Drosophila melanogaster: one gene and its partners. The protein of the gene in region 1 interacts with the protein of each later gene in a pairwise test. Each region holds a gene or a part of one and is shown on either strand. Other genes may lie near its edges.

Region 1 (6,577 bases):
CTCTTTGGCTTTGGTTTTCTCCCACTTTGCCCAACTTCCGAACTGATTTTCGCCTTATTTCGACCAAGTCATTTGCTTTTTTTTCTGCTGAACTTGAATTTTTGTTTGTAAAATAAAACCCCTGCAATCGCATTTAGTTGAAAGACACGTGCCGACAAGTTGTCAAGTACAAAGTTCGATTTATTTGCGCCGTGCAAAATAAAAGGTTTAACGATCTGCGGATTTGTCGATAGAAACTGGCACACGGCGAAGACAATGACGACGCATAGAACACAAGGCAGCAGAGGAATCAGATCGCGATCCGAGATCTCGGCGACTAGACCACGGCTGCTCACTTCATCAAGGGGGTCAAAGTCAACTCGGCATTCGCCCAGTCATCAGCAGACTGAACTCCACTAATAACCCCGATGCGAATTTCTAGTTCTCTGCAGCGATATTTATGGCCAGGCATTAGGGTGATGGCAACCGCCGAATTGCTCAATGGCAATCAGCAAACCTTAAAATAGTTTTTGCGCCAAGAAATAAAATTATATATGGCTTAATATAGCAATCTTCACCAAAACGCTCTTTTAGAAGTCTCAGCTTTTTTTTTTATTGTTTTGATTCGCTTTATGTTTTGTGATAGATCTGCATTTATAATGTATATGGTGATATAATATCTTAGGCTCCATGCGCGATGCTCTGCCGTGTGGGTGCAGGGATGCGGAATTTGTGATGTGCTGTGTATATGTGTGAATATAAAATCAGACCTCATTTAACGATGAAACGTATGTTCATTACTCCATACAACCCTAACAACTCTAAGCGGTAAGGTAAATACTAATGCCACAAGGGGATCATCTAATTGCATAACTTAAAGTAATTGCTTGGCTGACATGGTAGCTCCTTTAGATCCTGTTTTAGCAATGGAACCCTTGAGCGGAAGTCATCTCGTTTTGCCAATTTCAGATGCAAGCAATTCTGCACTACTCGAAATGTAAATCAACTTACGACAACATTAAGTAGACAAATTGGAATTTTATAAATAATTGTACATATATTAATTTCTCTACTGCAGATTTCATTCGACAATCAACTGGTTTTGCAATTTTTTTTTTTCTATGCAAGATTTTGATGATAAATGCGTGTAATTGTGTGTTAAGTGTGTGTTTTTGTCTTCTATATGGTTCCGTTGATTTTGTATAACAAGGTACAAATGCTCCCCAAACGCTAAAAAGGTTGCATTGTAAAACTGCGCTAGTTCGCATTAATATATGTTTTACTCGTACTATGAATGGGATTGTATGTGCTTTTACGATGATTGTTTCTTGGCATCCACTTCAGCATCTAAAAGGTTATTGGTTCGATGGGAACAGTGCATTCGCTATACATGACGCGGTACATGGCCATTTCAGAGATGCCATGGTAGTGGACAAAAGCGGCCGCAATGACCAGTATGTGGAATATTTGATGTGATTGACCCTGCAAAATAAAAGACTGTTAGAACGGTGCAAAGGACAAAACCATCAAGAATCGTACCCAAATGTCAAACTTTCCAGGGAACCAGCGTTCGGGAACACGGAGGGCGTACAGCAGTGCGCCCAGAATGTAGAGGAGGCCTGCAAGATGTATTTTGCCATTGTTTTACCATTATTTTAATATGCATATCTACAAGCACTCACCCATCAGAATTAGCCATCCCAGACTGGCGCGGCTCATCTGGCTGAACCAGCCCTCCATGATGCTGTAGTGAATAGCTGGAATCACACCCGACAGGCCAAAGCTCATAAATACGCCAGCGCGCAAGGGACGAAGTGCCGGCTCCGAAAACTTGTCCCATAGCGAGACCACGATGGAGAGGATGCCCAGAATGCTAACAACGGATAGGTATATCACCTTTGGCTGGTAATGACAGTAGAAGCCATAGTACAGCCAAGGCACAAAGGAACCCATGATCAGCAGCGCAATTCCACAGTAGTCAAGTCTGTTGGTAAACAAAACAATTAACATAATATCCATTTAATTAGTCGAGGAATACTTACTTAGAAAACAGTCTTCCCATCTCTACAGAATGACAGCTCAGTGTGTGAAAAGCGAATGAGAATCCTAGGCACACAATCGCACCGATAAAGAAGGCGCCAAAAACGATCTTCTCCTGTGTCTGGATCTCAACCGAGGGACGCGAGATGAAGTATAATGCCACGCCGATGAAGGCGATGCAGCCAAGAAGATGTGTCCAGATGTTGCCCGTTTCCGTGTGCACGCGGAAAATTGATTTAAAGCACGCACGGAAAGAGGGGAGCGGTGGGCGATGGCCGCGGTGTAGGAAGTCGTTATCCTGCAGCCACTTGGGTAGATTTTTGTAGTGGCACACTTTCCAGCTAGCCTCCCAGACCTACGGATGAAATGGAAAAAAATAACATATCATTCTATAGATAAGACATTACGTTTGGTAACTATAAACAAACAACAACAACAAAAAATACAGTCCCAACACTTAATACTATTTATTGAAATAAAAACAAAAATACAAAAGCTACAATATTACAAATCTTGAAGAGTATCTTCCATTTAAGCCATTCTTCACTTGGCAGCATCACTTGGCTTACCTTGCGCACAAACTCCTCTGCCTGCTCGGCGGCATTGTGTGCCAATGCGCCCAAATCAATTTCATCGGAGAGAACTCCGGCCTTCAGCACTTCCGTCATCTGTGGAATAGAGTGATAAGACATTAAACAGCTCTCAAAACAAATATAAAAAGCTTAATAACAAAGAAAAACTAAGAGCAAATGGGACTAACGACTGCATTTTCAGCTTGCTCCTTGACTGTGTCAGGGTTTTGGGTTCTGTAAGTTTCTTGACTGAGATCCGGCTCCAGATCCGGGTTGACACGCACTATAACCTCCGGCTGGGTCTGCATCTTGAGCGGCTAACAGAGATTCGAACGGAACTAGAACTAAATGTGCGAGGCAATGAGCGATTGTACTGTGAAGCCTCTGCCAGTCGCATACTCAATTTGTTGGCGGAACAAGAAAGCACCGAATGCGTTCCGCGATAAGATAAGCTTGCCCGAAACTGACTCCGGGCATTATCAGCACCGCATCGACGTAAATTTGTGATTTTTTTCCAGCATCTGTCGTATAAAGGGCTATGCCAAAGCTTTTTGCGTTCAATCTAAGCCTGACCTTTAAAGCCGGTGATCAAACGGGCAGATTGTCTAGAGTATAAGGCTCAAAGTCAAGAAATTTTACTTGACACCTTTCGGACAGACATTAAAGGCAAGGAGAGATAAGAGGTATAACTTTCAAATGGCTATGGAATATGCTTTAAATTGAGCAATTGTATTTAGTGAGTCATAAAAATGGAGAAATGGCCACGATAAGGTTTAAGTACAATGGTTATGGTACATTTTGCATGTGGCAAATAGACATTGGCCAATGCAACATTTCGATTGATAAGACGCCCGACATTGAAATGACTGCCTGCGCAGAGGGAAAATTGCGACTAACAAGTGGCAGCCGATAACCACATGGTGGTAGGTCAGCGATAAGAGCTCCGCCACATGTTTTGACGATTGCATTTCGTACTTTTCCACCTGGTGGAAAATGGAAATAAAGGTTAATAGCCCCAACTCACCTCCGCCTCAATAAGCTGTGTGTCCTCCGGGGTCGAGGGGAGTGGACAACCGGCGTCATCCTCCTCGACCAACTCATCGTCGTACTCCAGAATGTCCAGATCATTGGGGCTAAGCGAGTCCTCCGGTCCCCAGCCACGTCGCTTGCGCAGGATCATCTGCACCTGCTCAAAGATATCCTCGTCTGAACCTTCTCTACGCAAGGTGGCCGTGGTGGTGGTCACCGCCTCGCCGGTAGCATGTCCTTCGGCGTCCATGCCGAAAGTGGCTCGAGCCTGGGTGGTTACCTCCACCTCGGCGGGATGGCTCCCGCCACTCACATCAGCCGCTGAGCCCTGTTGCTCGAGGAGATTAGTGGCCGAATCCATGGTCTTACGATCCCGCGGATTCGTTTTGCACTCCGCAAATAGTATTCTGTAAGAGAAATACGTTCTGTTCAATACGATACATACGAATTTAGTTGTTCGAAAGCAATGCTAAGCGTTTGTTAGCTCAACGCTAGCTCGTCTGGGAAATGCGATATTTGTTTATTTGTTTATTGGTCTGCTCCGATCGCATTGCTATATAGTATGGCGCGACCTTTGTTCCCCAGTAAATCGGTTGTACGTAGCACATAAGTCTGTATCTGGTAGCTTTGTGTGTTTTATCACTTAGGAAACTTAGCTGCCAATTACGTTTTTACATAAGATGGTGTTCAAATGCGAGTGGGATCCTCAGTGGGTTAAGGTGCAGTTGCTATTTCGGGGAAACCATTATATAGATAGCAAAGTGCATGGAAAATGCAGCCAGAAGGCCACGTGTGAGTGGAATACTACCAACTGGCTTAACCCCCACCTGCACTCCACTTGCGCAGTTCCCATTTTTTTTATACGAAGTTACAGAAAGTGTCACAACACAAACGAACGATTAATCACTCGATTTCACTGGCGTTTCGTTACTATTCACTTACCACTCGAAAGTCGCGCAGTTGGCGTGGCTTCGACGGCAGGCCCAGGAGTCAACACTGGCGCGAAAAACTATTTGCTGCACTTGCTTCAATTGCGTGCAATTGCAGTTTTTCATCTGTTTTCCCTTAATTTAATTTTTTCTGTGTTTTTTCCAGTGTGACTGCAAGCGCGATAGGGAAAATCACTAGCAATCATATGGGAACGGAGGAAATGCGGTCATACCTTGACGCAGCAGCTGTTAACGGCTGTTAACGCTACTTTGTAGTCACAGCTCTGTAAAACAATGTGGCAACTCTGCGCAGCGCCCGCCATATTTGAAAATGCTTGCCAGCAAATCGTATTGCTCCCGGTAAACAAGGTGCTTTCATTATTAGTCAACATTTTTGAGAGCTAACAACTTTTTATTGGCGATCAAAGGTGGTACTTCAACTGACCAAATATTGGATATTTGCGTAAATACCTAACAGGCATTTGTTTTTTTTTTCATGAGAAATTACCGTGACGAAATTACAAGACGTATATTATATGAATAGAAAATTTTCCTCTAGTCTGTAAACACTTCAGTAACAGAGAAATTGTTTTCAAAAAATGTTAAGGCATCTCATTAAAAAACATCAACAATGAACTCAACTTAAGCCTGGTAGTTATGAATTAGCATGTGTAGTTCCCCGATATTTAACCTACTTAAGTATGCACATATCTGCCATTCCTTGGACACTTTTGCAAAGACAACAAAGACAACATCACAGCTTACTTAAAATATATATATTTAAATTAATTAATTAAAGTAATACAAGAATGTCTAATTATAGCTTTTTTAGAAATAGCATTACGGTGTTATAAAAACCCACAAATGTAGGCAAATAACAATTCTAATAATAAAGAAACTTAATTGGGAAGACAAAATGGTGTTTGGCTAGTGAGGAAATATCACCAGCCTTGCAGGCCCAATAAAGATTCACTTGTTTGGCAAGCTCTTAATAGCGCAATTTAACTACGTTTTAATAGCGCCCTTAGAATATTTATTGCACATAAAGGCCAATATGTTTAGTCAAGAGTCATTCATCTTTGTTAAACAAATTCAATTTCAAACATAAGACTATAGAACTTGCTTTGCTCAGGGGCAGCCCATCAAGATGATATACCCTATTGACCAATCCAGGCCAATATCATCCATCAGCTCTCGGCGTTCTGACCAGCTACGTTAGAAACTCGGCCAAGGAGCAGATTTCGCACAGACCCCGACTAGCGGTATTAATCGACTGAATTAATACATTTAGTAGCGCTGAAGTTCAGGGTCATAATCACAAAAGAGAAGCGCCGATAATGCGAGCTGTTTCTGTTTGAATGACGAGCGCGCGACAAAAAATGCTAAACGGCCAATGTGCTTCAAATGGAAATGGAAATGCCAAAGACCCGGAAGGGTGGCGACCAACACAGCTGCAGTGCATCCAACTCGGCAAACATTTGCATATTTGACCGGGCACTTAGCACGTGGGTGGAGTACATGGATCACCATGGGTCACACAAATCACCTGGGAATCTGGGAGACTGGTGAGAGTAAGTGCGTGAAATTGACCCATTCATTGGACGGACAATCGCTTCCCATCGATCTGGAAATGTGTTAACTGCGCCCGTAAACCCTATTTGCGTAGTTAAATTAAGTGCCAGGTTATGGAGTTGGGGCGTGTCATCCCCCACATTGGCACATATATATATATATATATAAGCACTTATAACTATGCTGCCAATTGAGTTCGTCTCAATGACGTGACGGCGATAATAAATCAATTGTCTAGCGGTTTATTTAAAGCCAATTTTGTAGCTGGAAATTGGCACACAGAAAGAAAAGTGGTGTCAGGAACTTATATATAAAATGTTATTATTTTGGTTATTTTTAAAGGGTCTAATGGAACTATTTTTATTATAAAAATGTAGATAATTTTTTAAGCATTTCTTTATAGAGATGTTTTTAGAAAAATGTTTTTTTAAATGGGCACACAGAAAGAAAAGTGGT
Region 2 (6,595 bases), on another chromosome or scaffold:
TCTTTTGGGTCCCAACCGGAATGTGCGTTTATTGATCCGAAACCAAAGTCCTCCACGGGTAATATCGCCTCCAAAAGGAGCGACCGATGCTTGCATCGCTGATCTCAGATCTTAGATCGAAGAATACGGACAATAATCGTTTAGAGATAAAAGATCCAAAATTTGCGAACATCACATTTATAAGTTTGTAGTTCGCTCCCCCACAGTCTTGATATTGGCGGCAAGATGTTCTCTCGAAAAGCTTATTCCAGAGCTTTTCGTTTCGATAAAAGTTGGACTGCAGATCTGAAAGAAAGTATAATATGTAAATATCTTGAGAAGTTAATAAAATGGGTGATAAAGTAATACGACATTGGTAATTATCAAAATAGTCGGTATTCGGATTTGGAACCGGCGGAACGATGCTTCTTAGATTGATCTGATTCAATAGTTCGGTTAGATTCATTTAAAAAATCTTACATAAGCTTAAAAAACGAGAACGACACCTTTATCGTCCTAGTCCGATACACTGCAAAAATTCGCGTATCAGCGTTATTTTTATCAAAAAAATTATCTTTTTGTTACGAACGCGTAAGCAATTCAAGGTGGGATTAATCCTAAATGTGGGGATAGTTCAGCAAACTAACATTATAAAGAATATTTAATTACACACGTTACTCATCATAAAAAAGGATAACTAACCGAGTCGGTCTGGCCATGTCAATCTGGCAAGCAGATTCTACACACGACTGTGGAAGATTGTTTGAGAACGTTGCTATGCAATCGCTAATGCACAAAACTGTTACAACTACATTTTTGAAACAAGTCGGTATTTTTTCCATTTTATTGAATTATTTAGTTTATTGATCCAACGAAACGAAAGTCCTCCTCGAGTAATATCACCTCCAAAAGGGGCGACCGATGCCTGCATCTCTTATCTGAGATCATAGATCGAAGCCTACGGACATTTATCGTTTAGTGATAAAATATTTAAGTTTTTGAACATCACATTTAGCAGTTTGGAGATCGCTCCCTTACAGTTTTGAAATTGGCGGCAATAGCTTTCTGGTTCCATAACAGTTTTAGATCCGAAAGTAAGTATAATATATCTTGAGAAGTTAATCAAATGGTTGTCAGAGTAATACATCGTTGGTGAAAAAAATTTGGTTTCCATTTTACAATTATATCAAAGCAATCGGTATTCGGTTTCGAGAGCGAAGCCGTTATTTCGAAACCGTTACCGCGAACCGGTTCCCAGCGAGCCGCGGCTCGCCAGTCGCGAAAACACAACGAATGCACAATCTAGAGGTGGAGAAATATTGATGTTGGCGGGCATCAAAGCTTCCAATGTTTTTGGCGAAAAACATCGATGTTTAAAATAAAAACAACAAAATTTACCTGCTTAATTTAATGATTATTTTTTAATATTGCTTAAATAAAAAGGCAGTACTTTAAGAAAAGAAAAACAAACTTATTGTCGTCTCCGTTTTCATCAGCCGCTGGTCCAATAGTTGCTCCTATAAAACAAATTAATACAATTAAATGGAAAAGTAAACCAGTATGCATACGAGCAACTGCAAGTGCACAAATCGGGAGTTCAAAACTAACATTTCAGATATTAATCCATGTGCTATGTTATGCTTTTAATAATTGCATTAGAAAATATGGAAAATTAATTTGTACTTACAATTCATACACTTTTCTTCTCCGATGCGCAGTAGAGATGGAAAAACATCGATGTTTTCTCGAAAAACATCGATGTTTATGATTTTTCAAAAACATCGATGTTTCTCCACCTCTACAACGAACGCACAATCACAAGCGCCGCTCGCGAGAACGAGAACGGGAACTCGAAAGAACCTAGATCGCTGATCGGAGAACCGTGGAACCCGTGGAACCGTAACCGTGAAAGTGGGGAATCGAAGATAGAACGGAGAGGGTGGTAGGCCGATTCCCTCTCCCCACTGCCCGTTGAAATTCAGAATACTAAGCTCTCGGTTAAACGCGGCGAAAAAGAAAGCAAGCTCTGAGCGGCTGAAAAAAAAATGAAGTGAAATAAAACTGGGATCGCGGCACCAGCAACAAGTTTTAGTGGCTCTTCTTTGTGCGTTTCGTTCGTGTTTGCTGCCCTGCGCTTTGCTCGCCACATTCGTCGCCGACTTTTATTTTGTTTTGCCCATTTTATCAGAATCGGAGCACCTCCAAAAAAGCCCAAGACGAGCTGAGCCTCAGCTGCGTCGAGGTGAGCTGATCCACTCCGCTCCCCTTTCGTGCGCTGCCCACCGCTCCCCACCGCTCACACCCGATCCCATCCAATCCAATCCGATCCGCTCCGCTCCGAGTGCATAGTGCATGCAAAGTCGCGGGGCTGGGCTTTCGGAATTACACAACCCACATGGGGCAGCGCCAACAAAGGCCTCAGCAGCAACAATAGCGGGCAGCCAAGCATTGCCCTGCCCTCGACTTCGACCATGGCTCCCACCACCAGTCCGCCACCCAAGCTGGCCAAGTTCAAGTCCTCGTCGCTGGACCACGAGATCTACACGGCCAATCGCCGCGGCACCATTGCCACGGCCTCCAGCGACTGGAAGGCGCTCCGCGGAGGCGTCGGTGGAGGAGCAGGAGGACCCGGTAGCGTACCCAATCCCTCTAACGGACGCTCCCTTCACGCCGGCGGACCCATGACACGGGCCGCCTCCACATCCTCGCTGGCTAGCAGTACGCGCACGATGACTAACTACCAGGAGTACAAAATGGATATCATCAACCAGGTGAGGACCAGAAATGGGTGACCAGTGGCTCCGTCCTTTGCTATGGACAATTTGGGAATTATTTAGTTGAAGTCTTGAGAGTATGCTGGGACTGTTGCCTTATAAAGTAAGCGTCTGATTCAGCATATGTTCAAAAAAATTTACGAGTGTTACTCAGCCAATGGAATTGCAAGGAAGTTAAATAGGGAGATATTCACCAGCAAAGTGAGTGTTTCAGCAAGGAACTATTGAATGCCTTGGATTAGCTTTAATCTTTTGCAGAATTCTAGAATTCCGATGGGTATTCTTAAATATAAGACCAATTCGTACACATAGAGGCAGCTATGTATGTATGTATGTGGTCCAGACCAAGCAGATGTCTTCCTTATAGGCCAGAATTCTCTAAAATTATACAATTACAGTCATTTCGGTTGGAAAATTAGAAAAACTAAGCCAAGATAATACAAATTAAATTTGCAAGTGGTTTTAAAAGCATTATGAACTTTAGCGGTCAAGGCTTTGTTACAAATAATTTATATTCTTTTGACAAGTTTTCAGGGCTCATATGCATTGTTTTAATGTTGAAATTTACAATAGATACTTCTTCGATAAATAAGACTTCTTATAGTTCATAGCAATGCGCCTGGTGATATAAAAGTTTAATCAACACAAATACTTAAATTTCTTAAGAGGTTGAGGACATGTGCTTTACTTTAAGGTGTAATTATTTTAAACATGACTCGGTTTCAACCCACATTTAAATATATAGTTTTGCGTTAAAATAGTTAAAAACCTTGATAATAGTTATATATATTAGTTGTTATAGTTATTCTATTCCAGCCTTATGTTGCCACTCAATGTTTTTTTTTTAAATTATTTTAAGTAATATCTAACGTTATCAACATAGAATGAGTCAGAAAATAAACTGGTCATGCATCGGAACATGTGCACATAATTAAAACCGATTTTTGAGACATACATATAAATACAACAGTTTGGTGATTAAATATTCAGCAAGTACGCAAAATGAGAAACACAACACAAAACTAAAAGAAAAAGCTGTTCAAACAAATTGCCTAATTTCGTGGACAAATTTCGAAATTGCCAAAATGAAACGGAACAGACAACTGCAAACAGATTCCAATTTAATGTGCAGAACTGTTTGCGGTATCAACTAATTTTCGATGGCTCTGATCGAGGACGATCCATCCGAATCTCTGCTATCCACCATTTGGGTCTTGACTGTCTCAACTTAATTGATAAGGCAAATATTTTTGTTTCCACCATTCGTTTATCTGAGACTGATAAAACTATTTACTCCGCTCCTCCAGGTGAGCGACATGTAAAGTGTTTATTAAATATATTTGCCTATGTGGTTGCTTTCGCCGGGCTGATAACTTCTTGAGGAATTTATCATTAAGCGCATTGCGGAAGTTTTCTCAGAATGCAGTCCTCTAAAGTAAACGCCATTTTCTCTGACAAATCAGATGGAATGGGCCATAACCAGGCTGCATAGAGGTTTTCAAGGAAAATAATAGCAACTAAAGAAAAGGGAAGAACCGCGAAAGCGCCACGGGTGGAACCATTATAAACAAGTATTCCAAAAATAAACCGACCACTAACTATACAACCCGAAAGCCTCAGGTGATGAATTCATCGAACTCTGGCCATTCAAGTAAATCTTATGGTATTTGGTCGCACCAAACCCGCCAAAAGGAAAGAGTTGGGCGCACAAGTGTTCGCCATAACAAGATCACGTAAACAAATTGACGGATTTATTAATATTTCGCTGGGAGGCTGGACGGGTTCGGAGTAGCTTCGATAGACTTTTCAAGACACTAGCTTCAAGGCCGGTGATTTGGCATGGGCTTGATTTCTTTGGCTGGCCATGTCATAAGTCAAGTTGGCTCCAAAGTGAGTAATTGTCTGTTTACTTGGCTGCGGAATCGTTGGCGTGACGAACGGTAATTGTGCGACATAAATTGTCGAAGGAAACTTGCAACTAAATGGGTCGGAATTGAACGCAACATGGTGGGGAATGCCTTAATTACGCCAAACGTTTCGCGTCTTTCAGATTCCATAAGTAAATTTTTAGTTGTCTTAATGCCTTTCCACAGCACGTGCTGATCGCTTCTTTTGTTTAAGTCGTTGTTCAAAGTTTATTACCGCCATGTGCACCTGCCATCAGTTTGGCTGCATGTTTAGATACTCTGTAAGAGGTGTGATTGAAATAGCCCAGGTGTCTACGGAATCCTGTAAACGGATTCAGAGCGACGTAAATAGAACATATGCATGTTCGCCGGAAAACTCGAGGCAGTCGATTGATATTGTTTAAGTGGCCCGCTGATGGAGCGAAATTGCCTGGCAATGATCAAAGCACTGTAGTTAATTTGATTGTGATTGAACTTTTGGCTTTGTCGTTCTATTCCAGGGGAAATGTCTGTGTGGTCAGTACATCAGAGCGCGGCTGCGACGGGCAGGAGTCCTCAACCGGAAGGTGACACAGCGTTTGCGCAACATCCTGGACCCCGGCTCCTCGCACGTGGTCTATGAAGTTTTCCCGGCACTGAACAGCGTGAGTGTACTGCCATTCGCCATTGAATCTTTTCATAACATGGTATAATCCACAGATGGGCGAGGAACTGGAGCGGATGCACCCGCGGGTGTACACAAACATATCGCGACAGCTGTCGAGGGCCCCGTTTGGCGAGCTGGAGGACAGCGACATGGCGCCCATGTTGCTCAACCTAGTTGCCAAGGATCTTTTTCGCTCCAGCATCACCTGGGGCAAGATAATCTCGATATTTGCCGTATGCGGCGGCTTTGCCATAGACTGCGTGCGCCAGGGACATTTCGACTACCTACAGTGCCTGATTGACGGTCTGGCTGAGATCATAGAGGACGACCTGGTCTACTGGCTGATCGACAACGGCGGATGGTTGGGCCTGTCGCGGCACATCCGACCCCGGGTCGGCGAATTTACGTTCTTGGGATGGTTGACGCTGTTCGTGACTATCTCTGCAGGCGCATATATGGTCTCAAACGTGTGTCGGCGCATTGGAGGTCAACTGTATTCGCTGCTGTTCTAGATTCGCTTGGGATCGCGTCGTTAAGAAATACAATCGTACCATTTAGTCAATGAGAGCTTCAAATCATTCCTGCTTCCATGGGCACCAGTCGTTTAGTAGTATGTAACGGACCCTGTTTTACGTATAATATTGTTATTCCCTTTCTCCTCTTTTTGTACATACAAGGCTATTCTAGGCGCAATAAAGCGTGTGTTGTAAACTTTTTTTTCGAATTTGGCGCGAAGTCTGGGTGTTATGCACGGAACTGCATTACTTTATGTCCGTGTTTAGCAACACTGGAAACGCCGTGGAGGTGCCAATATTTTGAGTACGACAATTCGTCTTTAAAATGTTATAGTGCCCAATCTTTGACTGTTGAACAGTGTATCTGTTACCAGAAATTAAAGACGAATCGACTAACATAATCTCTCAGTTAAACAAAAAATATAAAAGTTAACTTTGCTGACAAAAGTTTTTATAATTTTGTAATTACTGGTTCAATGTTCTAGTCTTTAAAATAAATGTTATTAACATTTTAAATTTTGATTGTTAGCCTTGCCACCCAGCTAAAACGCAAATACTTACCCAGCCCTGTGGCAACGCTTCGATTTCCAAAAACCATTTGTTATTATTGCTGTGGATCTGCCCATTATTATTTGTTGTAAATAAAGATTGGAGCAAATTATGCCATGTCATGTAAGTGCACTGATTCCGTGGGTATGAACGTCGAGTAACATGCACTTGCAGCGTCCAACCAGGCCGAGGAGACTACCCCGAACCTCCACGTGGAGGATGGAG
Region 3 (3,361 bases), on another chromosome or scaffold:
TACTTTATTTGGGTTATTATATCTTTTAAATGATATATTACATATTGCATAGATACATAATATTTTGCTTGAAGTAACTGCGGTTAAAAAGCATATGCAATAATCGCTGTTTAAGATATTTGCTGGTGAATCCAAAATTATGCCATGTTCAGTTGCTGGCGCACACTCTCTATTTCATCAGGACTCATGACATCCGAGTTGAAGTCTGCTTTGTGAGTTTGTATCAAATGCCCAGTCGCATCGTTCACACTATCCTGAACACTGTAGTCGTATAGGGTTCTCAACATGCCATTCATCACTTTCTGGGATCTTGATTGTGAACTAGACTGAACGCTTATAAAGGGGGCAGCATCGCTAAATTGCCAAAGGCAAATGCAGGCTAAGTGATGAAAACTAAATTAGGCAAACTCTAAGAACCTCGAAGATCCTTACGAACTTACAGAAAATGCAGATCACCGCGAAGTAGTTCATTGTGGAAACGTATTCTCTAGACTGTAAAGAATCCAACCAGCACTTGGCCTAAGCGTTATGAATCGCATTTATTACGGCTAACAAGATCAGAAAAATAAGTAAGTGCGCAATTAGAAGGTCTTGCAATGACTCAATACTATTGTTTCTGTTCTTAAATGATGGGAAACCATATGATTTTAACTATTAAAGTGTTGGTAGATTCCCTTGGGAAGGATTTGTCTCCGTGGGTACATCGGTAGCGACTTTCGCGATTTCGTTATTGATCTTCTGACTAAGTTCTTTCAGAAGTGTTAGATATTTGTTACGGTAAGTGTTCCTGACGTTGGCTTCCTGAAACTGATTGGCGGCAGGTGGGGCGCTATCCTTACTAGAACGTTTCTTACACGGCTTTGTGGACTTTCGAGTGTTTTGCAGTTGCCCATTCAATTCCAAAAGTCTGCGGTTCACAGTATTTAGCTCGAGCTCTAAATCGAGGTTTAACTGTCGTACTTTGATAATATCCGTTTTTCTGGCCTCTATTTCTTTCATCAAGTATATGGAATGGTTCCGGAGAAGTAAACTATTGTTCTGCTCCGTTAGTAACCTCTGTTGCAGGGCCTTGAGCGCACTTTGATTGGATCCTTGATTTTTTTCTTTTGCCGGGAAATCATCTAGTCCTTTATTGAAAGGAATATTATTCAAGTCAATGGAAGAGCTTTTTAGTGATTTGGACCTATTGATTGGATAATCATCCAGCGGCAAATCAGAAATATCGATATCCATTATATAATCGCCCTTTTTCGCATCTTTCAGAGCTACATCATCTTTGGCTATTTTGGCCTGTGTCTCATCATTCTTGGGAGCAACATTTTTCAGAGATGCACTTTTCGTAGAATCACTTTTCAGGTGCATAGCTGAATCGAGTTGTTGCTCACTATCGCAGCTTGCCACTGTAAAAAGCAGCACTAAACGAAAAGATACTCGTTCTTAAATGTGCTCAAAAATGCATAAGTCAACTTACGTAAAATTGGAGAGCATAATAAAATCTGGTTCATTTCGAAGAAGTGGCTTCAGCTGAAGTAAGGTATTATTGCATTCCTTATATATACGAATTTCATGTTACATAAGCGCTTTTGCAACGGCTCTTGTTTCGTTCTGCTTGATATTTATAAATATGATCTTGTAGTATTGCAATTTTCAAAAAAAAAAAAAACATCATCAAAATATATAAATATTCGTTGAATATACATTTTAGTCCTGTAGTATTCTAGATATTAAGATATATACATTTTTCTGGCCTCCGGACGGATATCTTCGGTTTTTTTTATAAGATTCTTCTTGGCATCGGGTGCTTTAGTCGAGGCTAACAATTTTAAGACTTACGCAGTTCAAACAAATATACAAAGAAAAATGCCATAGTCGAGTATTTATTGAAATAATATATGTAAATATCAAATTCTTAGACAATCAATTTAACATGGTTTTCAACAATATAAAAGCGAGAAAAGTGTTGGTTTCTTTGAATTGCTGGTCGATTAAGGAAAATACCGTGTTAATTATACAAAATATGTTTTTACTATACCTTAAAATAGTTGCTATGTAGTTATAGATGCTGTACATAATTAATTACATAAAATCCGGCAATGTATATCTGAGATCATTGAAGTCACGATATATGTGTTACCGATGCAAACGCAATTCCCAAGCCAAATTAAAGAAAAATAAAAAAAAAGCAGATCATAAAAACGAACCATTGTCTTTAGCTAAAAGTGAAACTGCAATTGAAAAAACTTTCAGCATCCGCAGAGCGGCTAGAATGAGAAAAAATTATACTAAAATTTCGCCCACATGTCCACATATGTAAATTGAAAGGTTGCGCCTGCGCACGCGTCAAATTGAAAGCGAAATTGAACGTGGGATTCAGAAAACTGAGGCATGGCCATCTCGTGGGCGATCGGTCACTCTGTGAATCGTTTTGGATCCCCCATTTTGGGTAGGTGGCCACTGTTAATTGTTTAAAACATAGCGATTTATGCGCAAGTTGCTCGCATTTTGCGTGGTGTCTACGGAACGCTGCTTAAATGGCCGCTGCTTTCCACAAATGGTCAAAAGTCTTTATGCCTTGTAAATGCCTTGTAATCTTGGTCAAGAATGGTGTTATACGGACAGCAAACTGGAATTTACCTTAGAAGGAGAACGGAACCCAACATATTTTAGATAACTGCGCATTTAAAATTCAATTAAGTGGAAAAATTCATCAGCTAATCTTGATGAGAAATAAACTATTTAAAACTTAACCATACTATAATTTATATTCAAAAAGTAAATAGAACAAAGAAAATTTAACTAGTATGGCTTGAAATCTCAAATGCACATCTTACTATATGAAGTTATGATTATGTTTATTAACGTCGTTAGATGATTTTCATAGTAACTTTAAGATAGCCTTCTTTATTCCCAGTCACACCATTCGCATACAAATCTTATGTCTTATTTCTCATTTTGATTGCCGTATTATAATGACAGTGGCTCTGTGCATGCGACTCCCATTTGAAGCTCGCTTTCCACTGAAGTTTTCGGTTTCAATTTCCCATGGCAGCGCATCCCACTCGCAGCAGGCACACATATGTATTCATCACTACGATTTTCATCGCTTTTCAGCCCGAGTTCGAGCTGAGCTCACGCTTTCATTTGCGTTCGGAAAATGACCTACTTCCGGATTAGCATGCCCGGGCCACTTTTACTGTCGCTCGATCTGGAAAAGGGCGATGGATGGAGGGAATGGGATAGGGAATGGGAGCCATGGCATCGATGGGCACCGACCAGGGGCAGAAGCTAATGAGGTTGTCGCCGTTGTATCCACTTGATAATAAACATCCGCCGCGTTCCGCAGTGAGTAAGTGAGTGTTGC

The links.
Region 2: the proteins of AdipoR (region 1) and Debcl interact in a two-hybrid assay, tested with the Drosophila melanogaster proteins (one large-scale study listed by BioGRID).
Region 3: the proteins of AdipoR (region 1) and Acp26Aa interact in a two-hybrid assay, tested with the Drosophila melanogaster proteins (one large-scale study listed by BioGRID).

The regions. Positions count from the first base shown.
Region 1 is NT_033777.3:22,543,097-22,549,673, forward strand, and holds AdipoR (adiponectin receptor), read right to left. Parts: upstream 4,751-6,577; 5' UTR 4,563-4,750; intron 4,470-4,562; exon of another isoform or gene 4,288-4,469; intron 4,103-4,287; exon of another isoform or gene 4,028-4,102; 5' UTR 3,982-4,027; coding exon 3,616-3,981; intron 3,178-3,615; exon of another isoform or gene 2,991-3,177; intron 2,936-2,990; exon of another isoform or gene 2,900-2,935; coding exon of another isoform or gene 2,780-2,899; intron 2,688-2,779; coding exon 2,589-2,687; intron 2,375-2,588; coding exon 2,022-2,374; intron 1,964-2,021; coding exon 1,662-1,963; intron 1,599-1,661; coding exon 1,519-1,598; intron 1,462-1,518; coding exon 1,327-1,461; 3' UTR 597-1,326; downstream 1-596. UniProt on the Drosophila melanogaster protein: Adiponectin receptor. In insulin-producing cells, regulates insulin secretion and controls glucose and lipid metabolism.
Region 2 is NT_033778.4:6,646,829-6,653,423, forward strand, and holds Debcl (death executioner Bcl-2), read left to right. Parts: upstream 1-1,825; 5' UTR 1,826-2,450; coding exon 2,451-2,750; intron 2,751-5,160; coding exon 5,161-5,304; intron 5,305-5,359; coding exon 5,360-5,818; 3' UTR 5,819-6,014; downstream 6,015-6,595. Other genes in the region: Opbp (Optix-binding protein), read left to right, coding at 6,487-6,493, 6,545-6,595.
Region 3 is NT_033779.5:5,892,367-5,895,727, forward strand, and holds Acp26Aa (accessory gland protein 26Aa), read right to left. Parts: upstream 1,531-3,361; 5' UTR 1,506-1,530; coding exon 1,472-1,505; intron 1,416-1,471; coding exon 655-1,415; 3' UTR 517-654; downstream 1-516. Other genes in the region: Acp26Ab (accessory gland protein 26Ab), read right to left, coding at 138-379, 441-471. UniProt on the Drosophila melanogaster protein: Male seminal protein which enhances ovulation in female Drosophila by stimulating the release of oocytes by the ovary following mating.